7 linked regions of the Ovis aries genome follow. The protein of the gene in region 7 binds, or shares a complex with, the protein of the main gene of each other region. Links are inferred from orthologs where the notes say so. Each region holds a gene or a part of one and is shown on either strand. Other genes may lie near its edges.

Evidence for each region.
Region 1: TCTE1 (region 7) and FBXL13 share a complex: the UniProt entries of both Homo sapiens proteins name them as parts of the nexin-dynein regulatory complex. The link is inferred for Ovis aries from reciprocal best matches to the Homo sapiens genes DRC5 and FBXL13.
Region 2: TCTE1 (region 7) and IQCG share a complex: the UniProt entries of both Homo sapiens proteins name them as parts of the nexin-dynein regulatory complex. The link is inferred for Ovis aries from reciprocal best matches to the Homo sapiens genes DRC5 and DRC9.
Region 3: TCTE1 (region 7) and CCDC153 share a complex: the UniProt entries of both Homo sapiens proteins name them as parts of the nexin-dynein regulatory complex. The link is inferred for Ovis aries from reciprocal best matches to the Homo sapiens genes DRC5 and DRC12.
Region 4: TCTE1 (region 7) and IQCD share a complex: the UniProt entries of both Homo sapiens proteins name them as parts of the nexin-dynein regulatory complex. The link is inferred for Ovis aries from reciprocal best matches to the Homo sapiens genes DRC5 and DRC10.
Region 5: TCTE1 (region 7) and DRC1 share a complex: the UniProt entries of both Homo sapiens proteins name them as parts of the nexin-dynein regulatory complex. The link is inferred for Ovis aries from reciprocal best matches to the Homo sapiens genes DRC5 and DRC1.
Region 6: TCTE1 (region 7) and DRC7 share a complex: the UniProt entries of both Homo sapiens proteins name them as parts of the nexin-dynein regulatory complex. The link is inferred for Ovis aries from reciprocal best matches to the Homo sapiens genes DRC5 and DRC7.

What each region holds. Positions count from the first base shown.
Region 1 is NC_056057.1:45,810,764-45,814,263, forward strand, and holds part of FBXL13 (F-box and leucine-rich repeat protein 13), read right to left. Parts: intron 2,362-3,500; coding exon 2,252-2,361; intron 232-2,251; coding exon 67-231; intron 1-66. UniProt on the Homo sapiens protein: Substrate-recognition component of the SCF (SKP1-CUL1-F-box protein)-type E3 ubiquitin ligase complex.
Region 2 is NC_056054.1:191,041,638-191,045,137, reverse strand, and holds part of IQCG (dynein regulatory complex protein 9), read right to left. Parts: intron 2,161-3,500; coding exon 2,032-2,160; intron 1-2,031. UniProt on the Homo sapiens protein: Component of the nexin-dynein regulatory complex (N-DRC), a key regulator of ciliary/flagellar motility which maintains the alignment and integrity of the distal axoneme and regulates microtubule sliding in motile axonemes.
Region 3 is NC_056068.1:29,498,872-29,503,134, forward strand, and holds the start of CCDC153 (coiled-coil domain-containing protein 153), read right to left. Parts: upstream 2,801-4,263; 5' UTR 2,577-2,800; intron 2,458-2,576; 5' UTR 2,446-2,457; coding exon 2,376-2,445; exon of another isoform or gene 2,091-2,375; coding exon of another isoform or gene 2,051-2,090; intron 1,978-2,050; exon of another isoform or gene 1,973-1,977; coding exon 1,907-1,972; intron 1,538-1,906; coding exon 1,394-1,537; intron 856-1,393; coding exon 607-855; intron 1-606. UniProt on the Homo sapiens protein: Component of the nexin-dynein regulatory complex (N-DRC), a key regulator of ciliary/flagellar motility which maintains the alignment and integrity of the distal axoneme and regulates microtubule sliding in motile axonemes.
Region 4 is NC_056070.1:61,298,425-61,302,562, forward strand, and holds the start of IQCD (dynein regulatory complex protein 10), read right to left. Parts: upstream 2,801-4,138; 5' UTR 2,699-2,800; intron 1-2,698. UniProt on the Homo sapiens protein: Component of the nexin-dynein regulatory complex (N-DRC), a key regulator of ciliary/flagellar motility which maintains the alignment and integrity of the distal axoneme and regulates microtubule sliding in motile axonemes.
Region 5 is NC_056056.1:33,576,704-33,580,886, forward strand, and holds the start of DRC1 (dynein regulatory complex protein 1), read left to right. Parts: upstream 1-1,383; 5' UTR 1,384-1,448; coding exon 1,449-1,603; intron 1,604-4,183. UniProt on the Homo sapiens protein: Component of the nexin-dynein regulatory complex (N-DRC) a key regulator of ciliary/flagellar motility which maintains the alignment and integrity of the distal axoneme and regulates microtubule sliding in motile axonemes.
Region 6 is NC_056067.1:25,289,716-25,292,156, reverse strand, and holds the end of DRC7 (dynein regulatory complex subunit 7), read right to left. Parts: intron 2,250-2,441; coding exon 2,055-2,249; intron 1,201-2,054; coding exon 1,061-1,200; intron 790-1,060; coding exon 696-789; 3' UTR 501-695; downstream 1-500. UniProt on the Homo sapiens protein: Component of the nexin-dynein regulatory complex (N-DRC) a key regulator of ciliary/flagellar motility which maintains the alignment and integrity of the distal axoneme and regulates microtubule sliding in motile axonemes.
Region 7 is NC_056073.1:17,779,403-17,783,612, forward strand, and holds the start of TCTE1 (dynein regulatory complex subunit 5), read right to left. Parts: upstream 2,801-4,210; 5' UTR 1-2,800. UniProt on the Homo sapiens protein: Component of the nexin-dynein regulatory complex (N-DRC) a key regulator of ciliary/flagellar motility which maintains the alignment and integrity of the distal axoneme and regulates microtubule sliding in motile axonemes.

The sequences.
Region 1 (3,500 bases), on a different chromosome or scaffold from region 7:
TTTATAAAACCACTCTTTAAGAAAACATTATCAAAACAACTAGTTAAGACATGAGTTCATACGAACCTGTAATATTGCTCTTTTGGGTAACTGTGAAATGTCAAAATCAGGAATCCCACCTATAAGAAAGTCTTCAGACACAAATTGTTCAGGAAAAAAGTGTTCTTCTTTAGAATTTGCTTTGAATTTTAACTTGGAGAATTTTTGTAATTGAAGTTCATGCTTTAGCATCTGCCATGAAAATAATTTACAGATTCCATGGAATTGTTGTAAGGACTAAATGAGACGATACATATAAAGCACAATGCTTGATATAATGACAGCACCAATTAAACATTATTATCATCATCATTATATAAATTATCATTGTCCAGGGCATATGTAATAGTCTCTGAACCACCAAAGCATTATAGATCATTTCCACTAGTTGTCATACAATACTGGCATAGGCAGTCACCTTGAAGATGTGGGCCAGCCTTCTCTTATAGAAATGAGAAAGCTGAAACCTAGAGTCAAGGTTCTGGTAATGACAGAACTGATACTTGGGGCATGGAAGGGTAAGGGTTACCCTGGAGCTGTAAGAGGAGAGTCAGGGGACTTCTCTGGTCTCCAACCTCTCACTATCAAGAGCCTGGGTTCAAGGTCCCTGGTTGAGGGACCTAAGATGCTAGAAACCGTGTGGCATGGCCAAAAATGAAAAAAAAAAAAAAGTGTATATATATATGTGTGTGTGTGTGTGTGTGTGTATGTGTGTATATATATATATATATATATATATATATATATATAAACGTTTTTCTTAAAAAAAGTCAGAAGGAAAGAATTTGGAGAATTGCCTGATGTATCATTACAGTAAATCCCCATTTTTACTTTCAATCCATTCATTAAGAGCGCATAATCAAGGAAAAAACCCTCAAGGGTAAATAAGTGTTGTACCCATACACACACACAATTTTCCTGCAATATATGTACATACTAGAGCCTAAGGAAGCGTGCACAGTGGAGAGCTGGCACGTAGCTCTCTCCTCCCAGCAGACACCTGCTGTCCTCACTCCACCCTAGTGAGTGCAGCAGTACCACTAGGCCAAGAAATCACATAGCTAAAATAAAACATTTTCTTTAAATACTCAATTAACTATTTAATACATATCTACTCTAGTACTCTTGCCTGGAAAATCCCATGGATGGAGGAGCCTGGTAGACTACAGTCTATAGGGTCGCAAAGAGTCGGACACGACTGAGCGACTTCACTTTCACTGCTTTCACATATTAGGGATAATATTACTGTGTCATATATAATATACACTATCATACATATTTATATATATATATATATCAATTACTACAAAACATCATGTTTAGTGTATGGGGATGGTTAAAGAGAACAGTGCTGCCTTCTCTCAGGGACATTCAGTTTAAGGGGATATAAAACGGCAGCCTGGTCACGCAGTTACCTTTTCACCAGGAACCGTAAAATGGGGTTTAATTTCTTCCTAGTTTTCTCTTTCTTATTTATCCCGACTTTATATTTCAGACTATTAGTAAAACATTACATACTAAATAATATAACTACAAAAAATTCCAGCATGTTTCTGTATCTGTTCCTAGTAGTTACTATGAATATTCTAAAAAACATTAAATGATAATTTACTATGCTGATAGCTAAAGCAAACTAGAGATGTTTTTATTATTATAAGTTTGAAGGAGTTTGCCTGGATGCTCTGTTTTGACTGCTTTAATTTCTAATACGTGTCCCAGTTAAGAATGATTCAAGTGTAGAAATTTAGTAGCTTTAAAGATAATTTAGTATTAAGATTTTAATTTACTAAATTGGATATTGAAAAGAGTAGATAGAAATGCAACCTTATCTAGAAAAGAATAAATTTAGTCTACCATTTATTTCTGTTATAATCATATCAAACCATTTCTCTTCCACTTTAAACATTTATTTCCACCTAAACACTTGCTTAAACAAAATTCTTAGTGTCTTTATCAATAAATTAAAATGAAATGTTAAAAAGATGTTTCCTTGATGTTGAACTTCAAATGAAAGAGCAAAATTTATTAGGAAATATTTTGGGTAAGTGAGGAGGCATTTAGATTGTTAAATTAAAAGAAAAAGGACCCCTTTAAAAGTATATAATATGCAAGTCTTCAGTGTTTTCCACGCGTAGCGTTATCATCTGAGACAACATCAATGTAACAGCAAAGTTCAGTTTCTAAAAAACAGTAAGTGTCCAATATGCCATACCAGCTCATCTTCTCTCTTTTTAAACTTATGTCTTGCTCTATCCCTCCATTTACTTAGGATAACTATCATCTTGTAGCAGTGGAACATCTTTTGTATCCGCAGTAGTGCATCTGAAGAAAATGCATTAGATTACTGTATATAATTGCACAGTATTATGATTAATATTCTATCAGGTTTATAACATGAAACAATGCTGCATTTGATAGTTTTTATTTTAATTGCATCTGAAATTGATTACTATTGACAGCAAAATATAGTACTGCTGAGACTTCATTAACTTGTAAACATTACCTTTGCCCTTATAAATTAAGATATTATAGATGTAACAAAATGTCAAGTTATATAGCATATCCTTTTAAACAAATCTGTTCTTTATAAAACCAGAACTTCCAGATTTATTCATAGAAATAGAGTCATGAGATAGTACTTTTAAATGCCCTGTGATTAAATAGATTGCTCGCTCTCTCTCTCTCTCTATATATATATATATATATATATATATATATATATATATATATATATATTTTATGTTTAAGCAGGGGTCCAAAGCTCAAACACAGGGGCCAGGCCAAGAAGGAGGATGATTAAGGCAGGCCTTGGGGACACCATTCTTAACTATAGCTAATTGCTTCCTCTCAGAAATAGAGACCCACTACCTAGCTTAGTCGGTAAAGAATCTGCCCGCAATGTAGGAGACCTGGGTTCGATTCCTGGGTTGGGAAGATCCCCTGGAGAAGGAAATGGCAATCCACTCCAATATTCTTGCCTGGAAAATCCCAGGGGCAGAGGAGCCTGGCGGGCCAGGGTCCATGGGGTCGCAAGAGTCGGATATGACTTAACGACTAAACCACCACCACCACCCTATGTTAAAATCACCAGAGTCCACTCTGAGGTACCAACAGGAGCCAATCAAGAGGAAAGGATTTACTGATTTGCAGCAGCCATAAACAGATCAATATGTAGTTAGCTGGATGGACTCTCTATTCCTGCTCTGAAAAGCACATACATGTACTGTCCACTCATTACAGCTATCGAGGGTTTAAGTAAAAGAAAATTATTTTTCTTTAAGTTTTCTCAGAAATTCATTAAATAAAATATAAAGAATAAAGAGCTGTTTATAAAAAACAGTCAATTTTGATATCTATCTGTCCATCTACCTATCTATCCCAACTCTCTATTTTATAAAAAAAAGTTAATAGTAGCTCCCTATTTATATTGAAACTTGTATATATATCACACAAATAGATAT
Region 2 (3,500 bases), on a different chromosome or scaffold from region 7:
TAAAAAGAAACACATTTGAGTCAGTTCTAATGAGGTGGATGAACCTAGAACTCATATGCAGAGTGAAGTGAATCAGAAAGAGAAAGATAAATACCATCTTCTAATACATATATACAGAAACTAGAAAAATGGTACTGAAAATTTTATTTATAGGGCAACAATGTAGAAACAGACATACAGAATAGACTTATGGACATGTGGAGAGGGGAGGAGAGGGTGAGATGTATGGAAAGACTAACATGGAAATTTATATTACCATATATAAAATAGATAGCTGAGAATTTGCTGTATGGCTCAGGAAACTCAAACAGGGGCTCTGTATCAACCTAGAGGGGTGGGATGGGGAGGGAGATGGGACGGAGTTTCAAAAGGGAGGGTATATATGTATACCTATGGCTGCTTCATGTTGAGGTTTGACAGAAAACAGCATAATTCTATAAAGCAATTATCCTTCAATTAAAAAAACACTTTATTTTTAAAAAAGATTGTGATTGTAGTAAACTGGAAGAGGATTTTCTGGCTTATCAGTGTGGTATCTAAAATTGCTGCTGCTGAGAACAAGCTAAGAAGAGGAGGAACAGGAAGAGGAAAAAGATGAATCTTTTCTATTCCGAGCACCTCTAAGCAAATCTAAGGACATAATCTCTGTCATCACTCCCGTTTTACAGATGAGGAAAATGCACATAGAGAGTTGAGGTAACTTGCTGCAGAGGGCCTGAGAATGTGCCCCTAGACCTCCTAGTACAGGCAATGTAAGCAAACAAGGGTCCAAGCTCTCGACTCTGAATTCCTCCACTGTTTGTGCTCTGAGGCAATCCTTCCCACAGACTGCTCCCAGCCAAGTTTTGAGGGTGGCAGGGATAAGGCCATCCCTCCCTAGGAGACTCTGGACTCTTCTGATGCTTGACTTTCGCTCAAGGACTGCCTGCTGACCTTGCCAAATCATCCTTAGATTGCAGGGTGGTCTCATCCACCCAACCTTCCCTCTCCTTCACTTACGGTGAGTCTAGCATTGAGTCCAAAGGCTCCCTCCCCATTTTCTCTCACATAAGGGTTTCCCTGATAAAAATCTTTACATTAATAATCTCATCTTGTCATCTGTCTCTAAGAAGATACAGACTCACACACTTGCCATAGTCACAGAGCAGAATGAGTTTAAATGGCAGAGCAGAATTTAAACTCAGTTCTGGCTGAATGAGAATTTAACTATTTTATGTTGTTTCTGTTTGCCCTCAGAAACAGAATTCTGCTTATCTCCAGAAATCCCCTTATTTAGGTTTAAAACAAAATAACAGAACAATACAATAAAAAAAAATAATAATACCTATCTTAGCTTGAGCTGCCATAATAAAAATATCATAGGTTGGAAGGCTTATAAACAGAGAAATTCATTGCTCACAGTTCTGGAGGCTATTAAGTCTATCCGGGTATCATCCAACTCAGTGTCTGCTGAGAACCTGCCACCTGGTTCACAACTGCCCATTTTCGTTTGTATCTACATGACAGAAGAGGAAGACAGCTCTCCTGGGTCTTGTTTATCAGGGCACTAATCCCACAGATGAGGGCTCCATCCTTAAGACCTACTCACTGACCAAAGACGTCCAACCTCCTAAAACCATCACTCTGGAGGTTGGGATTCCAAAAACTGAGGTTAGAGGAGCACAAACATTCAGTCTATATAGCAACAACAATAACAACAACAACAACAAAATCTTATCATTAAGTAACATCTCGAGAAATCCTGCTAACTAGAATCTTGAGATTGTCATTGCCAAAACAAACCATAGATTATGCACTACTCATCTGTGTAGTACATATATTGTACTATATATATTATAGATACAGATAACTGAAGCCCAGAAATTGAGCTATTGTTCCAGCAGAACTCCAAACAGAACCCAACTTTCTGACTCCTAGTTATCTCCCCTTAAAAGCAAAAACTTGATTTGCTTTAGAAATCTAAGACTTCCAGTAAGAGTTTTATAGCACTTTAAAAGGCAACAAAGCAAATAAACCTAAAGTTACTCTCACCTGGCAATGATATCATAGAAATGCATTTTGCTTTCCCTCTCTTTGCCCAAAGCTTTCAGGAGACTGGTGAAAGTGCCTTCTTCTTGCAACTCCTCCATAGTTTCTGTAATTACATCACTCAAAAATTGCCTATAAGGAGAAATGTAAGATGAATCAGTGAGGTATATTTCCCCACATTCACAAAGAGCTACAAAAATCACACAAGTTAAGACTCAGAAGGACCATCATAACTAAATTTGAATTATTCTTGGAAGGCAGAAATAGTTTAGTATTAGAAAATCTACTAATGGAAATCATCACATTAATAAGGACAAAAGGAGAAAAAAGCCAAATGATCATCACATCATTTAAAAACAAACAACAACTCTTAGCCAAAAAGAGAAACTCCTTAACCGGAAAAAGTTTACATACTGAAGACTAACGGACCTGGAATGTACAGCATGATATTGTGTATACAACATTTAAGAACATGTAAAACTATGAACGTGAACGTGAAAGTTAGTCACTCAGTCATGTCCGACTCTCTGTGACCCCATGGACTGTAGCCCAGCAGGCTCCTCTGTCCATGGAATTCTCCAGGCAAGAATACTGGAGTGAGTTGCCATTTTCCTTCTCCAGGGGATCTTCCTGACCCAGGGATCGAACCCAGGTCTCCCATATTGCAGGCAGACTCTTTACCATCTGAGCCACCTATATGTATCATTTAAATAAAATACTTACATACCTAATAAAAGTATCACAACATATACAAGAGAACAATAAACAACAAATTCAGAAGAACTATTTGGGGGAAGGGTGAGGGGAATAGAATCAGTCTTCAATTGTACCTGACATATTTTATTTGGAAAAAAAAACTCTTAAAGCTATCATGTAAAATGTTAAGATTTGGTGGTTATATACATAAGGATTAATAATTTTATTCTTCACATTTTTCTGCATTGTTGAAATATTTTATAATTTGAAAAAGTTAAATCATTAAAAAAATTTTGTATAAAGAGCTAATACAATACATTTTAGAGATGAGTGACTCCAGACTCAGGAAGATTAAATGCCTTCCTTGCCCAAGTTCACAGAACTAGCTTGAAAAAGAGCTAGAACTATTTAATTCAGATTATTGACTCTTAGTCCATTGAGTATTTTCTCCTAGGTAGAGAATTTTAAATACTGTTATTTAATGTTTTGATATAGAATCACAAGAAGTATACTTACTGTTTTACATAATTATTACCAATAGTTCACACAAAAAAATTCAATAACTATATTGAGAAAATAAATACAATGAAGTCATATCAATTGAAAAACTATGATCCCACACACTGAGAATGAAAGGACATTAACTAGCAGCTTATAAACAGGACACCATCTTTAAGGGATGCAAATGTGAAACCAGATTATTTATAACAAGAGATGATACCCTCTGGTGAGGGTCTAAAGCAGGGGTCAGCGAGTTTTTCTGTAATTGGACAAAT
Region 3 (4,263 bases), on a different chromosome or scaffold from region 7:
GAAGATACGGAGGTAAGTAATTCAAACAGTTATATTCAAGCTTGCTTTCATTCTAAACATCAGCCAAACTAAGAGAGACTGTGTTTTGCTCGTGAGAGACATGTGGGCAGTGGGGAGTAAGAACTGTCTTTAGAGAGACCATTGAGAGAGGGAGGTGCAGTGAGAAAGTTAGGGCTTCTTCATTTATAACTAAAAGGTTAAGATTGGGTATTTTTTGCTATCCTGAACCTTCTGTTGCAAGTAGTAGAAGAGTCAGTGGGGGAAGACAGTATGAGAGCTTAAATTGCAGTTTTCTAAAGAAAGACCATTCTAACTCCACCCCTTCAGGCTGGACTACATCAGTGTGATCCTCTGAGAGAAAGTGCTGTGAGGGCAGGGTGTGCTGTGTGTGCGTGCTAACTCGGTTAGTGCTTGACTCTTTGTGACCCCATGGAATGGGGCTATCCAGGCTCCTCTGCCCATGGGATTCTTCAGGCAAGATTACAGAGTGAGTTGCCATGCCCTCCTCCAAGGGATCTTCCCGACCCAGGGATGGAGCCCACATCTTTTAAGTCTCCTGCATTGGCGGGCGGGTTCTTTACCACTAGGGCCACCTGGGAAGCCTACCTAACTGCTCCTGCAGGCCCTTCACTTCTTCCTCCAGCTTCCTGGTGCGACTCTGCATCGCCTCCTGCAGGCTCCGGCACTGACGACTCATCTCTGGCAGAGCCGTGGGTGGCCAGGGACCCAGATGGGGAGAGAGCAGTGGAGAAAGGACAGAAGTTGTGGGTGGGGAGGGCTCTGCTTGGTCCAGTGGACAAGTGCATAAAGGTCTGTTGAGGGCCTTCCCTGGCAGTCCAGTGGTTAAGACTTCACCTACCAATGCAGGGGACGCGGATTTGATCCCTGATCTGGAAGCTAAGATCCCATATTCCTCAGAGCCAAAAAACCAAAGCATAAAACAGAAGCAATATTGTAACAAATCCAATAAAGACTTTAAAAATGGTCCACATTAAAAAAAAAAAAATCTTAAAAAAAAAAAGTCTTCTGGATTCTTGTGGTGATCTGAGAAGGTAGGGACAGAGCTAGGAAATAAGACACCCATCCGCTATGGTAGCTCAGTATGTGAATTCAGGCCCTCCTTCCCACCCACTCCCACGGGAGGAGTGAGATAAAGGCTAGGGCTGCGTTTCATAGTCCACGGGACATCAAGCACAAAGCACTGCATGTCACGGAAGGTTCCTGCCCAAGACCACAGAAGGCCCCCTCAGGATTCCTGTGGGTGCAGGGAGGGCTGAGGCTAGGTATGGCGGTTCGAAGTCCTCCTTGTCTCCCTTTCTAGCATCCTTGGGCCCTCCCAGTTGTCCTCTTCCGGGCCCCTGTCTCCCGCCCACCTGCTCGATCAACCTCACACCTGCATATATGGCCTTCCCTTCGCTCCGGGCCCCCTCCAGTTCAGCCTCCAGGTCTTTGATCCTCTGCTTCAGCTGGTCTTCCGAAGCCTTGGCTCGGCGGGCTTCATCCCTCTGCAGAGCTGTGAACAGTCCAGAGCAGCCCTCTGCACTGGTTGGGGGCTCCACTCAATCAATCAGCCCCCATGGCCTTGATGGACTCTGTCCACCTTCAGAAACCTGGCGGCAGCCTGCCAGTCTCTCATCGTCATTCTGTTTCCCTTCCCCGCCTCAGAATCCTACAGACTCTGTTACTAAGAGGGAAAAACTCCCTCTGTGTTCCAGCTATAAAAGTTAGCTTTCTTTATCAACCCTCACGGCCCACCCTGTCCTCATGACCCCAGCTCTTGACAATCTTTTCCCATTAGGGGATGGTTAGAGATCAGCTCAGCCCTCCACCATTGTTCCAAAACTTTAAGCTCCCAGGGATACACAAATGCCCACTGTCTCTGTTGCCGAACTTCTACCCTTCTTACCCAAGCGGTCTTGGAGCACCTCCTTTTCCAGCAGTGCCAGCCTGTGCATGGATTCAGCCTCCACATCTGCCCTGGCAAGACAGCAGACCCTCAGCTTGTCAGGATCTCAGCCTTCCCTACCCTCCTCCCACCCTCCTCCCATACCCTGGACTTCTCTTTTTTTTGTGGGAGATACAAGGACCATTAAATGAGGGATCTCTGATAGCAAAGCCTAATGAGTTCACTACCCAGCTCACAGTAGGTATTTGAAAGATTGTAATGAATATACAAGGAAGGCACACAGCCAGAAGGGATTCATGGGTGCTGATTTTCCCATGTTCCCAGCTCCATGGCACCCGAATATGGATATAAAGGGGGAAGGCCAAGACAGCTCCATCTTGTCACGCAGAGGGATGAATTCTCTCTGGAGGTCTCTGAGCCAGAACAAGGAGAGGCTGGGAGGCACCCACCTCCACCCAGTCTGACTCACCAGCACCTGCATTTCTTTTCTTCTTCTGGGCCCCAGCTTTTGTCCCTTTTTCTTTGGTCTTAGGTGGCATCTCCTTCCTGTCCTGGAGGGAGGGAGGGGGCTCATATTTAGGTCTGGACATGGAGACACTCTCCTGACTCCCTAGACGGAACCAGGAGTCCCAGGAGAATTAGTGCTCTCATCTCCAAGTCTGTCTCTTACACTTTCCAGAAGCTTCAGTTCTTGGTTTCCTTGGAAACTTAGGCAAGGCTGGGGCCAGGGGGAAGGATGAACCCATTTCTCTCTACCAGTCAAGCTCTAAGTACAGAAATCATTCCTCTCAACCCTCTTTCAGAGAAAATAAAGCTCAGTACCTGGCCCCTTCTCTCTTCCCATCATCCTTACCCTGCCTCTTCCTTCCTCCAAGACCCTCACTTGTCTCTGTTGTATCTCCCTGTGGCGTGACCCACTTTCCAGGAGGGGCAGAGAAAAGGCCCAACCAGCTAGGAGCCGGAGGAGGAGATTGTGTTCTGGGACCCAATCCAGAGTGGCAAATTTCATTTGGGGGTGGGACTGAGAACTGGAAGGTTGGGCTTCTGGAGGCTGCACGTTGTCCAGGCAACTGGGAAACATGGAGCTGTTAGGAAGGTACATGCATGCTTGCTCAGTCGTTATAATTGTGTCTGGTAGAAGGGGCTAAATACAATGCTTAAAATACCAAGGTCTCAGAGGGCCAATACTCTTCTTGTCCCCAGATCCTAAGTGTAGTTTGAGGAGAGAGGGCTTTGGAACTGATTAAATATGATTCACTTCTATGTAGCACTGCCTGCAATTTGGACACTTACAAATTATAGATTTACACATCCAAAATAATGCTATTGCGCTGATACAGAGGAAAAGAACTCACGGTAGCCATTTGGGGTGATTTACATTTCCCAAAGTCTCATCAACAAAATGACATTATTAAATAGGCTTAAAATTGAAGATTTCAGGAAGGTATTCTACGGTGAATGAGGGAAAGAAATTCAGGAGATGGTGGTTGAGAGAGTTTCCTATTTCAGATAAATGAGACACAGAGGAGAGTTCGACCTAGGACCTCAAGGTGCTGTGCTAAGTCACCTCAGTCGTGTTCGACTCTTGCAACCTCTTGTGACCCCATGGACTGTAGCCCTCCAGGCTCCTCTGTCCATTGGATTCTCCAGATAAGAATACTGGAGTGGGTTGCGATGCCCTTCTATCCTGACATAGATGCAAATCAAGAAGAAAGGGTACTGGTTAGAGACAGGAGCTTTTGAGTTCTCATCCTTACCCTTCTCCAGATATGTAAATTTGGGTAAGTCATTTTCCTTGCTCAGCCTCAGTTTCCTAAATCTTTGATTTTGTAAATCTTGAAAGGCTTGGATTTTCACCAGGTATTTACAGGACTATCTTCTTTTATGGTGACTTAATATATTTCCTCTTTCTCCCTATTCCTGTCTGTGGTTGATTTTCAGACAGGTGCTGAGAAAATAACCAGCTTGGTTCCCTGTGGCATTGAGTTGATTTGGGCTCCCTCTAGTGGATTTTCTTGACCTTCTAGTAAGTCTCCTGAATTTTTCTATTTAAATTATTTATGGAGCAATGTTGGGGGCACCCCTCATTTAGGGGTGCTGCCTAGCATCTTGCTGGAGTCACGAATAGTTGGAAAAATAAATCTGGGGAAGGGAGAACGCTGAGTGGCTTGCCCTGGTTAGCTGTTCCCTCCCCGAAACCCCTCTCTCCAGCCTTTTGCTATTGGGAGCCTTTGCTGTCTGTCTGCCACCCAGATTTGTGAACACCAAAGTGGCTAAAATGAAAACAGCAGAAACTTCAGGGCTTTCCCCCTTGTGGATTTAGGGAACTGCAGACTCTTTCTTTAGATATTTCTCTG
Region 4 (4,138 bases), on a different chromosome or scaffold from region 7:
AAAAGATAAAGAATATGGAGGCCTGGCAGCAGTCATTGAGTCAACAGCAAAAACCCTCTACCAATATAATTTTTAACTCTTTAGAAATGGCTCTGTATCTTTAAGATGCTTCTAAGCCTTGTGCCTCTCACGGTTGGGGGGCTGTAAGCAATTCACAAGAGGTCTGGGGAACCTGTTAGGCAAGCTAGAGAGCAATCAGAGGGGGTTTAACTGAAACATTCCTTTCAAATGCAGAAGACTAAAGCCCTGAATTGACTTTTTTCCAGAGAATATCAGAAAAGTGGAAAAGCAGAGTACAAAGGCTGGCAGATTTTTGGTTTTGGGGGGTACATGCTCAGGAAATGCCAGGGGGAACTCTGAAGTCTGATCACGACCTTGCGTATGTCAGCTTCCTTCCTCATGACCTTGTCACGGGCAGGATTCCTCACACTGGCTTCTGGCATTTCATGCCTTTTCTTTTTTGTCCCCATGCTATTTACTGAATGCTTTTTATTGTGTTAAATGTTTTTAGTCCATTCTTTTAATTATTCCATTGATTTTTAAAATATTTTTTGAGTGTTTTTTTTTTTTTTTTTTTTAGTGGTCGATTTAGGGATTATAATGTACACCTTAATTTATCATAATCTATTCTGGGATACTAAATATTTTCTATTTGATAGTCATTGTTATCTTGTCTTCTTTCAGTTATTTAAACATGGTTTCCTTTAGTTCTTTGATCGTATTTATAATAGCTTTTTTGAAGTCTTTGTCTGCTGAAACCAACATCTGGGGACACATAGAGACTGTTTCTATTGACTGCATTTTTCCCCTGAGTATGTTTACACACATCTCACAATTTTTATTGAACACTGGAAATCTTAGAGGGAAATTTTTTTTGGTAGCAACACAGTATTTTTTTTTCCTAATGATTGCTGTTTTTGTTTTGCTTGGGCATTTGGTAATTTACTTCCTGGACTAAATCTGTCAAGTCAGTCTCCTCCATGGTGTGCAGCTACTGATATCTCTGCTTAATTTTTTTTGCATATTTTTATTTTAAAACTTGGCTTCCTAGGGGTCACCTATGTATCCACATAGTTTAATATTCAGCCAAAAATCAGTCAGGGGTTGTGCTCACACTTTGAACCAGTAAGGCTCCTATTCTTGGATGGCAAGTACCCTATGCACTCAGTACACCTGTCTACACCAGGCTCCAAAGGCCAAGCATTTCTAAGTCTCTTGGGCCGGAGCAGGTCTCTGCTGCACATGCGCATAACCTCTAGTCAGTCAAGGTAAGACAGAGCTCATCAGGTTCCGCATGGATGCCGCATTCCCCAGAACTCCAAGTTTTCAGTGCACTGTTGGCGCCGAATAGAACTACAACCTTGGACTGCTACACCCGCTGGCGTTCCCTGTTCTCGTCCCACCAAGATTGCTACTTTAGCCAAGAGTCCTCCAAATCAAGTGAGCCCCATCAGACAGCGACAGTGAAGCTCTTGGTTTTCAGGGGGCTACCTGCCCTCGTTGAACTATTATGCCAGATAGAACTGAGTATGGGGAAATCAGAGAAGTCCCAGGTAAGTACAAAACAAACTTGAAGTTCGGTGGTTTTATGAATAAAAGCTCTCAGTTTGTTGTATGCCTTTGGCTGATTTTCAGAGTGCTAATTTAGCAATAGATGGTTTTGTCTAGCTTTATAGTTGCTTTGAAAAATTATTACTGTGTTAAAATATACATAAGTTCAGGGGTAAAGAATCCACCTTCAGTGCAGAAGACCGGGTTGGAGTCCTGGGTTGGGAAGATTCCGTAGAGGAGGGAATGTCAGTCCACTCAGGTATTCTTGCCCGGAAAATCTTACGGACAGAGGAGCCTTGGCGGGCTACTGTTCAAGGGTTTGCAGAGTCAAGACACAACTGAAGCGACTGACTTTGATTGAAGCAACTGAGCACTTATGCAGGCAACATAAAGTTTACCACTGTAACCATTTAAAATTCAGTGGCATTAAATTGTTACATTCATATCTATATGCAACCATCACCACCATCTGCCTTCCAGAACTTTTTCATCATCCCAAATTGAAACTCTGTACCAGTTAAGTAATAACTGCCCGTTTCCCACTCCCCCAGCCCCTGGCGACAACTATTCTACTTTGTTTTAGTTAATCCTTGCAACAAACCCTTTCTCTTGAGTATGTAAATGAAATTATATTTTAAGGACAGTGATGGAAGTTAAGGTCTAAAGTTATTATAGCACAAAAGGCCAACATTGGTACAAAGGTACATAATTTAAACACTCACTCTCATTGCATGCTCACCTTGGGATTTATAAGCTGTTGACAGAATGGTAGGGGACTTATAAAACTACTCTCTCACCCCCAACACCTATGTGTAACTTGAAAGTAGTTTAACTTAGCTGTGAGTCCACTTGACTAGTATCATCCACGTTTTACGGATGAGGAAGTGGAACCATGAAGTGGACAAGAGGAAGGGCAGAGTAGAGGCAGAGACACCAAAGAGGACGCCCAGTCGTCTTTGCAGAAGGTCGAGAGGGACGTCCAGACTGAGGCAGGGGCTGGAGATCAGGGTCCTGAGCTGGGGACGGGCTAGCGGTGGGGGGAGGGGGGACGGGATGCTGATTCCTCAGAGTGTCAAAAAGATAAGAGGACTAGATCCCATTCAACATCTCCCCATCATCTCCAGCCCTTCCCCACATGATCACTCACCTGCTCGGTGGTCTTTAAGTTTTTCTGTCCTTGGTTACCACAGCTGTTCCTGCGTTGCTAGGTTACCCATCAATCTCAGAAGGCGGGACTCGGTGTCTGATTAACTTTCCTTTTCGCCATTCGATTCCTTATTCCCCTCGGTTTGGTCCACCTCCTGAGGACTGACCAATCAGAAACAAGGTGTGTCTAACTCTCCACCAATTGGAAGAGCCGGGCGTCCCTCAGGGTTAAGCTGAACGAGTAAGGCGGGGAGAATAGGCGTGAAAGGGGCGGAGCTTCTTTGTCCCGCCTCTCTTCCCCAGGGAGGTGGGCAAGGAGGCTTGTATTAACTGGGGAAGGACGTAAGGATTGGCCAATCAGAGATCATCATGACGCCCGAGTTAGCCAATAGGGCGCGGCGAAGGGGGGACTGGGGCGGTGCCGGCCAGGCGAAGGGGACAGTAGGCGGCGGATGGGAGAGCTGGCGCAGCTGCCGTGGTGGCAGCGGCTGAGGTGGCGGTTTCTGCGGCGGCTGCTGCAGCTGCAACAGCTCCGGGCTCGGGGCTTTGGCGGCTGCGCCGGCGGGCTGTGCTGTGCTGTGCGGACCCCGGCGGTCGGTCCGGGTTGCTGGGGCGGCGCGTGTAAGAATTCGAGGCATGTGAGGGATGGTCAGAGGAGAGGGCAGAGGTCAAGGGGCAGGGGGCTCGGAGTGAAAGGTTGCGGCTGGGTATTTGGGTGTGGGAGGCGGGCAGGTCGGGCCAAGAGGGGTTGCGGGGAAGTTCATTGCTGCGCTTCTCTCCCTCCAGTCCTGATGTGGGGAGGGGGCCCAGCGTGGGGACCGCCCGAGGAAGCCCGGGGCGGGAGAGGGGGCTCAAAGTCGAACACGTGGAGTAGAATCCCGCACGCCTCTTCGCTCCCCTTTCTCTCTCAAATGCTCATCTCCCTGGAGCCCTCAGTCCACCCACCCTGCAAGAGACTCTTGCCCGGTCCGTCTGCCCGAGTGGAGCGCGGGACGGCCTGCCGGCTTTCCCTGGGACCTTTCCCTAAGGGGTGACCCTTCCATTCTGGGTCCTCTCTAGAGGGAGAAGCACTGTGACTTTAAGTAACGTCCCTTCTCTTCCCCGAGCCTCAGTTTTCCCTCTCTAAAATTATGGGTTTGAATTCAGATGAGGGGACTGGTCTGGGAAGAGAGGAAGGGTAATGGTTAAGCAGGGAGGGTGAGACTGCCTGGGTTGAAATCTGGGCTCTATTACTTCCCAGCGGTCTACTTACAAGAGGTCGGTTAATTTAACCCCTCTAAACCTCACTTTCCTCATTGTGAAGTGGGGACATCAGCTGAGTAAAATTTCCTAACAGCAACACTATTCACATATTGAGGCACATATGTCTCTGTTGTGATAACCCCCTCTGAGAGCCACAAAACTAATGCATTCATTACAAGCAAACAGTCATATATTATAC
Region 5 (4,183 bases), on a different chromosome or scaffold from region 7:
GACGCAGCAGCAGCAGCAGCACGGCTTATTGACAAGGGGCTTATCTTCTTTGGCCTCACTGTTGCTTGTGATTTAAGTAGGCAGGCAGTACAGCTGAGAAAACAGTAAATTGTGCCATACCCAAGGTGGCAGGGCCTGTCTGCAATTTCTTACTACCCTAGTGCCCTTTTCCGAGTTTCTCTCAGGCCAGTAGTACAAGGTTCGATCAAATGTTATCCTGCTTGTTTTCGAATGAGTCTTAATGCTACATAAGAACGCGGTGCATTTTTTGTCGCAGTGCGACAATTGACACGTACAAAACACCCAGGAAATAGTGCTTTTCAAGGGACAGTAGTCCTTCGAAAGTTTAAATGTGCTTCTGTGCTCTTAACTTTCATTCCTCCCCCCTCACTCCCTTTCCTACCTGTTTTTCTCTGCTCTCCTCTTTTTTCTGTATGTGATTGCGGGTAGTAATGGAGGGAGTGCAGCCCTACTGAAAACCGCTACATAAGACAACGGTTCCTTGTTGGATATACATTTATTGATGGCAGGGGGTTTTCACATTCTAGAGACGATAGAGGCTGAATACACAAAGTAGGAGCTCAAACACTAATGGATGATGGGAATTCCTCCGCGGCTCAGTGGTAAAGAGTCCGCCTGCCAGTGAAGGAGACAAAGGTTGGATTTCTGATCTGGGAAGATCTCACGTGCCACGGAAGAACTAAGCCTGTGTGCTGCAACTATTGAGCCTGTGCTCTGGAGCCTGGAGACTGTAACTACTGCAGCCAGGAGCGGCAACTACCAGAGCCCTTGCGCCCCAGAGCCCTTGCTCCGCAATCAGAAGCCCATGCACTGCAACAAGGAGTAGCTCCCGCTCGCGGCAGCTAGAGAAAAACGCCTGCTGCAAAGAAGACCCAGCACAGCCAAAAGTAAAGTTATACATATTAATTTTTAAAAAGAATGGATGACAAGCAGGTGGATGCAATGTACTTTAGTTCAGAATTTCTGAGTGAACCTATTATTCTACCCCCTCCATCGAGGAAAAGACAACGCTTGGATCCTCGGAGCTAGCACAGTGATTGGCATAGAGTAGACATTGAATTACATTAGCTGAATACGGTGATTTTGAGGATTATTTATTTGATGGATGAATTAATCATAGGGTAGGTAAGTGATGAATCACAACTTGGTTCAGCTCTTAAGTCTTCCGGCCTCTGTTAATACCACCTGAGCCTTAGTGGGGGATTCAATACAGTCCTCACCGTAATTGCAGCAGAGGAATAAAACCCCAAGCTGAGACAACGGCGCTAAGAACACCAGTGCGCCCGGCCTTAGGGGCTGCGCGCGCAACCACGCCAGCTGCGGGTCAGGTGACTGCATTTCCCTGGCAACAGCTTTGTTGTTAGCAACCAAACTGTAGTCCCACGGTGGTCCAGGCAGGGCTGCCCGGGGGGCGGAAGGCACCTGCCATGAATCCGCCAGGATCCCTGGGGGTCCTGGAGGAGAAGGAGGATGAACATTTAGCCACCCCAATTCTCGGACCCTCCGTACATTCTGATAATCCTCAGGAGCGGATCCAGGCCCGGCGCCTGCGCATTGCGGCGCGCCTGGAAGCTCGGAGGCGGTGAGTCAGGGTTTGGGCGCGTTCTTCCAAGGAGCGCCCGGGGTGCAGGTGACCTGGGTGCTGGAATGAGGGGGTGGCTTCTCCAGGCCGGAGCCCCTGTGGTGAGGGGCTCGCGTGCCCTACGTGTGAGCTGGTCTTGCTTCTTGATGAGATAGAAAACTTTTCTGCCAGAAGGTTCAAACAAAGTATGTGATATTAAAGCATTGAATACACTTAGCAAAGTCAAAGATGGAAACAGGAATCCCTCCAGCACGTTCACGGAGAGCCTGCTGCGCCAGGCACTGTGGGCCGTACCTGAAGATGTTGGGGCTTCATGACCGGTCCCCCGAGATCGTTCTTTCCTCCTTGCCTCCCAGCGTGCCTTCCTTCCACAAGGGGTTACAGAGCAGACCTCGGCTATCACTTCTGTTGGTTTCAGTGGCTTAACTGGTTGTGTGACACAAAACCGTTTTCCTGCAGAGTCTGAGGCTGATAACTGTACCATTCTCAGGCTGGGGTTGCCACCCTCGTCCACTCACAGACTTTGTGGCCTGTCTTAAGAAGGGGGATCGAGGGGAACTTGCGTGAACCTGTGACTGCCTGAACACCGCACTGTGTGACAGCGCTTATACCTCGTCCTGCTGGTCAGGGTCAGCTGCCTTGCCAAGATGGTGCTTCTCTTGTTGTCTGCCGGTCTTTGGACACAAGGGGCCCAGAGTGATGTGGCTGTGTTCCAACAAAAACTTAACTTAAGGACACTGAAATTTGCATTTCATATAATGTTCGTGTGTCACAGAATATTCTTCATCTTTAGATCTTTTTTTTTAAAATTGATACACTTCATATTTTAGAGCAGTTTTAGGTTCACAGAAGAATTGAGTGGAAACTACAGAGGTTTCCCATTTACCCCCTACTTCTACACATGTATGAAGCTACCCTGGTGGCTCAGATGGTAAAGAATCTAACTGCAATGTGGGAGGCCTGGATTTAATCCCTGGGTTGGGAAGATCCCTAGAGAAGGAAATGGCAACCCACTCCAGTATCCTTGCCTGGAGAATCCCATACAGAGGGGCCTGGTGGGCTACAGTCCATGGGGTCACAAAGAGTCACACCCAACTGAGTGACTAACACGCACTCTACACATGTATAACCTCCTCCACTATCAATATTCTCCACCAGAATGGTACATTGGTACAACAGTTGGATCTTGATAAATATATAATGACATGTATCTACCCATCACAGTACTGTACTGAAGAGTTTCACTGCCCTAAAAATCCCCTGCACTCTGCCTATTCGTCTTGATCTTTTCAAAAAACCATTTGAAATGTAAAAAAATCATTCTTCACTCCTGAGCCATACAAAAGCAAGTGAATCAGATTTGGCCCATCAGCCAAAGTTTGGCAGCCCTGAGATAACAGATCAGTGTGATGCTCTGTGGGATATCCAAGTGGTCCTGATCTATCTAGACTCTAGTTTGTCAGCTCAGGAGCATTGACATGGCCCTGCAAGTATGAGGACTGTATGAGTGTGTATTATCTGTTCCTCCTCGATATGAACTTCCTAATCCTTTTTCCTGACTGAGGTAGAAATAGCATATTTGGCTCAATCAGTGGCCACATTCCAGGTACCTAAGGCCACACTTATATGTTCAAGCAAGGACCTGCATGACAGCTGCAATTAGGACTGCTGCTTGCTTGAGCTTGCAGTAATTGACAATCATTTTCTTGGCTCCATCCATCCAGTTTTTGCAGGGACCTGACCAGTGAATTAAATGGTGATTTGATAGGCACCACCACTCCCACATCTGTGAGATTCCTAATTGTACTGTGTGCTCAACCACTCAGTCATGTCCAGCTCTTTGTGACCCTGTGGACTGTAGCCCACCAGGCATCTCTGTCGATGGAATTTTCCAGGCAAGAATACTGCAATGGACTGCCATTTCCTTCTCCAGGGGATCTTCTCAACCCAGGGATTGAATCCACGTCTCCTGCATTGGCAGGCAGCTTCTTTGCCACTGAGCCACCTGGGAAGTCCTTGAGATCCCTAAGGGTGATGCTAATCCCTACCGTAGCCCTGGTATACAGTATTGCTTTTTGTGCACTTGGGTGCAGTTTTGGAGTGTCCATTTGACCTTCCATATGGCTATAGCTCTTACCCACAGGCCAACAACCTAGTGTGAGAATTTCTCAACTTTCTAAGCATGTTAAGATCACCCTTGTTGCTCTTTAGGGAATGGTTTGGAGGAACAAAGATCCTACATGCCACTTGGAGTAAAAAAACTCTGCCTTTCCAATGCAGGGGAGGCAGGTTCCATGGGGAGCGAGCTAAGATCCTACATGTACTCCCTGCATTGGAAACTCAGAGTCTTAACCACTGGACCACCAAGGAAATCCTGGATTGTGTTCTTTTTAGTATTCGAATTTTTATCCCTATGGAATATATTTTTGTATATGGTGAAATATACTATGAAAATTTAAAATTAAATCCCCCAGGCCATGCACAGCTCAGCAGAAAGATTTAAAAACAAAACAAAACAAAACAAGAAGTTAGGAAAAAAAGTGAAAGGTTTTACTTCCTAGAATTTAAACTTCATTTTCT
Region 6 (2,441 bases), on a different chromosome or scaffold from region 7:
GCCGACTTCATTTGGGACTCGGGTGGGGTGGGCTTTGGGAAGAGCCGCTACCCACAGAAGTCAGAGGAGCAGAGGCAGGGGTCACACACATGTCTTGGGAGAAAGCCACTGGGATCTTGTTTAAAGGGATATAATGCTTATGAAGTCAGACCCGGGGTTAAGGCTGAGACAGCCATGTAGCTCTGGATCCGGTACATTTCAGAGCTTCCAGTTTCTTGTCTGCAAACTGAGGGTCTTGCACCCCCACCATGGCTGGGGTGGCCCAGCTCACAAAGTGGGAATGGCAAGCCTACGGTGTGTGCCCCAGAACTTGGCTTCTTGACGCTAGGCTGCAAGAGACTGAATTCCAGCGCCTCTTCTTAGCAGCCACTAATTAGCCATGTGTGAAATGGGGATGCAGTTGCTGTATTAAATAAGATAAGACTGTAAAGGTGGTCCCAGGCCACAGATAAAGAAGAGAAGGAGAAAAGGGCTGCTGCTGGAGTCTGTGAAACATGAGGTACACGTGGCAAATGGCAAGTGTTTATTTATAGGTAAATTAGGAAAAGCAGGAAAGTAGTGTGCCTGAGTGGATGGTCATTAGCTGGGCATAGGGAACACAAGGGCCAGGCTTTGGGGGAGGTTTCTTTCTCTGGCAGCTTTGCTGGGGCCTCAGGAGGGACTCAGAGGACCACAGGTGTAGGGGGTGAAGAGCATCAAACAAAGACTTTAAGTAACTCCACCAGGCGTGGGTCCTTGTAGAGCTTTTCCTCCAGAGCCAAGTACTTCAGTGGGGCCAGCTCCTTGTGTCTGAAATCAGAGGGAGGGTTTACAAAGCTGGTACTTTGAGACTTCCCTGGTGGTCCAGTGGTTAAGAATCCTTCTTCCATTGCAGGGGACATGGGTTGGATCTCTGGTCAGGGAACTGAGAGCCCACATGCCGCAGGGCAGTTAAGCCTGCGTGCCACAACCGCTTCTGCCTATGCACCGCAATGAGGACCCAGCACAACCAAAAAAACAAAAGCTGATGCTCCAACATCCTTGTGGGTCCTCTTGGCTCCCGCCACCCCTGCCTCCTCACCGGCTGAGCCGCTGCTCCAGGATACGGATGCGGAACATGGCCTGAGAGCAGTAACTCAGGTATAAGTCTTCATCCTCAGGTGTCAGGGTCACCTGATTCTCCTGATACCACTGCTGCTTCTTCTGCAGCTCTTGAGTCTCCTGTGGGCACGGGGAAGGAGAGCAGGAGGGCTGACCCAAATTGCAGGCTGACCCCGCTCCTGCACAGGGCATCAGACAGCCCCACAAGGTCAGCCCCGTCACCCCTTCTCATAGAAGCGAGAGAAGCAGAGGCAGAAAACCTGGGGCCTTGTTAGAGGGCTATATGTCCACAAGGACTTCCCAGGTGGCTCAGTGGTAAAGAATCAGCCTGCCAATAGAGGAGACGAGGGTTCGACCCCTGACTGGGGAAGATTGCCTGGAGAAGGAAATGGGAACCCACTCTAGTATTCTTGCCTGGGAAATCCCATGGACAGAGGACCCTGGTGGGCTGCACAGTCCATGGGGTTAGAAAGAGTCAGACACAACTTAGCGACTAAACAACAACATGTCCACGAGGTTAGAGCAGGAGTTAGGACTGAGAGCCATGTGACTCTGGTCAAAGTACATTTTCAGAGCTTCCAATCTGTCATCTGCAAAATGAGGGTCATTGCACTCACCCCCACCCGCACCACCATAGAGCCGTTTGTGAAGATTAAATAAGATAATGCAGGGGAACTACACGGTGTGTACCTGACCAACAGAAATGGGTCAAAAACTATAGGAGTTGTTATAATGCTCCAGCCATCCACGCCTCCATCCCTCTGTTCACTCATCCACCTCTCCATCCACCCTTCAACCCAATAAACAAGGATGAGGAAGGACAGCTTGGTCCTTTGGACACACCAGGCACTGACCTCCTCCCCTTCCACCCGTTAGTCCCTCACAAGTCTATGAGATGGTGAGCCAACAGCCCTGGGCTAGTTTTCCGGTGAAGGATGCCGAGGTCCCCACCCCTGCCAGGGCCCCGGCTGCACCTTTTCAAACCGGGCCTGGATGAGGTTGGCTTTGTCAATGAGCCGCTGCTTGAAGTCATTGAGGCACTCCTCCTTGAGGCGCACGGCCTGCCAGCGCGTGAGCTTCTCCCCAGGCGGGAGCTGGGCCAGGAATGGGGCCAGGTAGTCCAGCTGGGCCTCCACCTGTCGCAGGTGCTCCTCGTGTAGCACGCGCTCCTGTAAGGGGACTGAGGGTCGGCTGGACCAGCAGGGGCCGCAGACACCCCCCAGACAGCTCTATGGAGATATGACCACACAGAACCGGGCCCCAAACCCTCTGTGCTTGAGGCCTCAGAGGGCTCTGTGCTGTCTCCTGAGTTCATGGTTATTGGTGACAGCCAACTCTGGTGTCTGTGAGTTCACACATCT
Region 7 (4,210 bases):
GCATGGCAACCCACTCCAGTATTCTTGCCTGGAGAATTCCAGGGACAGAGGAGCCTGGTGGGCTACAGTGCATGGGGTCGCAAGGAGCTGGACGTGACTGAGCATGCACACACGCAGCAGCAGGGCAGGCCCTCAGTAGTGTGTGCACAGGAGGAGGCGGCATAACAGCTAGCTCAGGATTCAGGAGTTACGCCGCCTGAGGTCCAATCTCCACTCTGTCCCCAGCATCTGGGAGAACCTGGCAAATCATGCAACCCCATTAAGCCTCCATCTCTTTATTGTAATATGGGATAGTAACTGGGGTTCCTACTTCATAAGATTATCCAGAGGATTAAAGGAGCTAATGTGTATGCATGCTTGCATGCTAAGTCGCTTCAGTCGTGCCTGACTCTTTGCAATCCCATGCACTGTAGCCTGCCAAGCTCTTCGGTCCTTGGAATTCTCCAGGCAAGAATACTGGAGTGGGTTGCCATTTCCTCTTCCAGGGATCTTCCCAACCCAAGGACTGAACCTGCATCTCTTGTGTCTTCTGCACTGGCTGCTGCTGCTGCTGCTAAATCACTTCAGTCGTGTCCGACTCTGTGTGACCCCAGAGATGGCAGCCCACCAGGCTCCCCCGTCCCTGGGATTCTCCAGGCAAGAACACTGGAGTGGGTTGCCATTTCCTCTTCCAGGGATCTTCCCAACCCAGGGACTGAACCTGCATCTCTTGTGTCTTCTGCGCTGGCAGTCAGGTTCTTTACCGTTCCTGCCACCTGGGAAGCCCTAAAGTGAAAGTGTCAGTCGCTCAGTCATGACTGATTCTTGGTGAGCCCATGGGTGATAGCTCACCAGGCTCCTCTGTCCATGGAATTCCCCTGGCAAGAATACTGGAGTGGGTTGCCATGCCCTTCTCCAGTGGATATTCCCGACCTAAGGACTGAGCCTATGTCTCCTGCATCTCCTGCATTGCAGGCAGCTTCTTTGCTGTCTGAGCCACCAGGAAACATGTGTGAGACATTCTGTATAGTGTTGGGCCCAGAGCCAACACTCAAGGTAAGTGTTAGATATCATGACAAAGATGTTAGATGCTGTACCTATATAAGCCTATGAAATCTTCAGACTTATTATTGACAAATATTGTTATTATGACACCATTATCCTCATTTCACAAACAGGAAAACAGAGGCTTAGAGAACTTAAGTAACTAGCTAAGCATCACATAGTAAATGGAGAAGCTGAGCTCTGAACCAATGTCTGTCCAAAGCTGTCCCTCACTTCCCTGCACAAAAGCAGAGACAAATCACGGGATGTTGGGATTGCTTCCTAAATTGCCCAGACTCGGTTGTCATAGCACTTTTCCAGTGGGCCTCACACTCTCTCCAGTCGGAGCCTGGGGTCACCCTCATTGGTGCTGACCTGAAAAGCCCAGGCTCCCTCACTCCCTGTCCCTTCCAGTCACAGGGCCCTTCTGCAGAACTGATGATCACTTCAGCTTTTGAGGCCCCACGAGGATCCAAGAGATACCGCAGAGCTGTGCTTTCCTGCCCCGTGGCCCACTTTGGGCCCTCCATGTTCCTTCCAGACCTAGGGTTCAGTGCTCGAGTCTCCCGCACCTTCCCTCCTCTCAGAAACGTCTCAGACCTCCTCCATCTTTCTCAAGTGCCTAGTTAAATCCAAACACTTTGGGCAGAGGCTCCACCTGCCTGCCTAAATGGGAAAGTTGAAGATGCTAGAGGAGGAGGATCCTCTCTCCTTTCTGCTCACCACACCCCTGGTCCTCACCTCTCTTTCTCTGAACTGAGAAGCAGAAGTGCCAGGCCTTCCTTAGGTTCTCTGAGGACCTCTGTGGCCTTGGACATCCCTTCTTGGGGGCTGGGCTTTGACGTCCCATATCCCCCAGCTTCTCTGGTGGTGCTTCCTGCCTTCTCAGTCAGCTGTTCCTCAGGGCCCTGGCTTTGGTCTACATTTCCCCAATCCCTATCTTGCCTACTGTGTCAGACTCCACCTCAGGCCAAGTCATTCCCATTTGGGAATTCAGAGTTTGCGGAATCACAAAAGAGGGGCAAAAAAGTTTCCCTGATAGAGTTCTGGCCTAGCACCCCTGGTCTTTTGCTGGTGAGACAGTCTGCACACTTATCACACCCCTGGGCCAGGCTTTCCTCCCAACTGCGCACTTAGGTCTGTGGTCTTAAAAAAGAACTCCACCCTCATCCCTACCTTTGATTCAGACACCCCACCAGGGAACCTCAGCTCCAAATGCTAGCAAGTCCCTCCCCCAACCCGCCTGGGGTGAAGGGGCCCTCCTTCTTGGTGACCAGGGATAACCAGCTTTGTCATGGGAGGGAGGGAGGTGTAGAAGTGTCTAGACCTGCGGGAAGGACTGCAGCCCCAGGAGCTGGGAATAGAGCTCTGTCTTTCCAGGAAGGCTGGGGCCCCGGAACTAGGGACTGCTCTCACTCATGACCGACTCTCATTCCACTTTCCCCTTCTCCATCTCCGGTGACCCTCCCCTGACTCGCAGAGCCAGTTTGCAGTGGCCGTAGGGAGGAAGGAGGCATGGTCAACTTCATATGGGGGTGGGGGCTTCCCATAGGTACAGGCCGGCCCTTCCTTCTCACGGGAGCCAAGGTCACCTGCAGACTTCGGCCAGGTGGGCTGACTCTGTGGGGTGCTCCCATGCCCTGTGGGGAGAGTGGGGGCAGAGAGCTCAGCCCGCTAGGGGAGACCGGGGCCGGGTGTTCTCTCTCCAGAGGTTACCTCACCGCTCCCGAGACCTGGCCTCTCACCTTCCCGCAGGTCCCCACGAACGCAGGTTGTTAGGGACGCCGTGCGTCGCTAGGGGGCGGGCCCTCAAGGGCGGGTGCGCATGCGTTCTCCCGCAAGCTGGTTGACTGCTATGCGCTGTGCGAAGGCAGGGCTGCCGGACTTCGATGGTTGTAGCAGCACGCCTTGGCCCAGGATCGATGCAAATACGTGTCCCCCTCTAAGGCACTATGTGGAGCCCAGAGCGGACAGTGAGAACTCTGGCATCCGGACATGCTTTGTGCGTCGAGTGGACATATTTAGGAGCAGTGGGTTTCTGCAGGGAAAGGCAGGGAGCTGCGGATGCGGCAGGGCTCCTGGTCTACTACGGGGCTCTTCCTTCTCCGGCCTTTTGTGTGGAAATGGAGATGGGGATGACGAGTGGGAAGACGGTCCAGGAAAAGCACCAGTGGCCATTCCCTTCCGGAAGAGGATGATGGAAGGGCACGTGCAGTTCTTGGAACTCCCCTGAGGCCCTCAGCTGACCACTGGCTGCAGCATACCTTTGGAGCCACCCTCGGCCTTTCTCCAGGTTGTCAGCAAGGCTGAGTTGGCACCAGGCAGGAAGACCCCAGGCCTCCACAGCGCTCCCTCCACAGCCCTAAGCCCGACACCAGGAATGACCAGCTTCTGTGAAATGACTAGCTTTCATAGAAAAGGAAATTGTCCTTCAAGAGGGGAAGAGCAACCAAGGGTGATTGGTTCACTAGAAGCAGAACTTAAATTTCAGTTCTGATGATTACTAGCTGGGTTACCCTGGATAAGTTACAACCTTAGAAGCTCAGTTAACTCATCAACATCCCCCCCCCCCCCCCCGCCACCGCCCTGCCCTAGTATCCTCACTGTGGTGACTATATGTTAAGATCCAGGCTTTCAGTCAGTGTACTGAACAGTGGCCCCTGCCACAGTAGCTAAGATCCACAGTTGCGACCTCTCGGGACTGCAAGCAGCCAGAGGCCAGGGGCTCCAGGCCCCTTTCAAGCCCTCATCAGTGATTTACCAACTAATCACCACTGCCTCAATTAGAATGAGCAATCACGCAAGAAATGCTGTCAGGAAGGCCTGCTCTGCTCTAAAATTTTGACTAAATGCCCCCAGAACTTCGCAGCTAGGGAGGCTCTGACTTGGGGATGGGTTCCCCGAGTTCCCCTTCCTTCATCCAGCAACAGAGATCTTCAAACAGAGGTGGAGCTCAGGTGTCTGGCTCGGTCCTGGGTGGATTCACTTTGGGAGGGAAAGACAACTGCCCTTCATTCCACACCTTCCTCCTGCTCTGAGCTGCCAATTTCAGCTTCAGCTCAGGTTTGGGGCAGGTGCTTTGCAAGTTGTTTTACAAGAGAAGGCTTGGGACTGCTCTGGTGGTACAGTGGGTGAGAATCCACCTGCCAATGTATGGATTGAATCCCTGGTTTGGGAAGGGTCTACA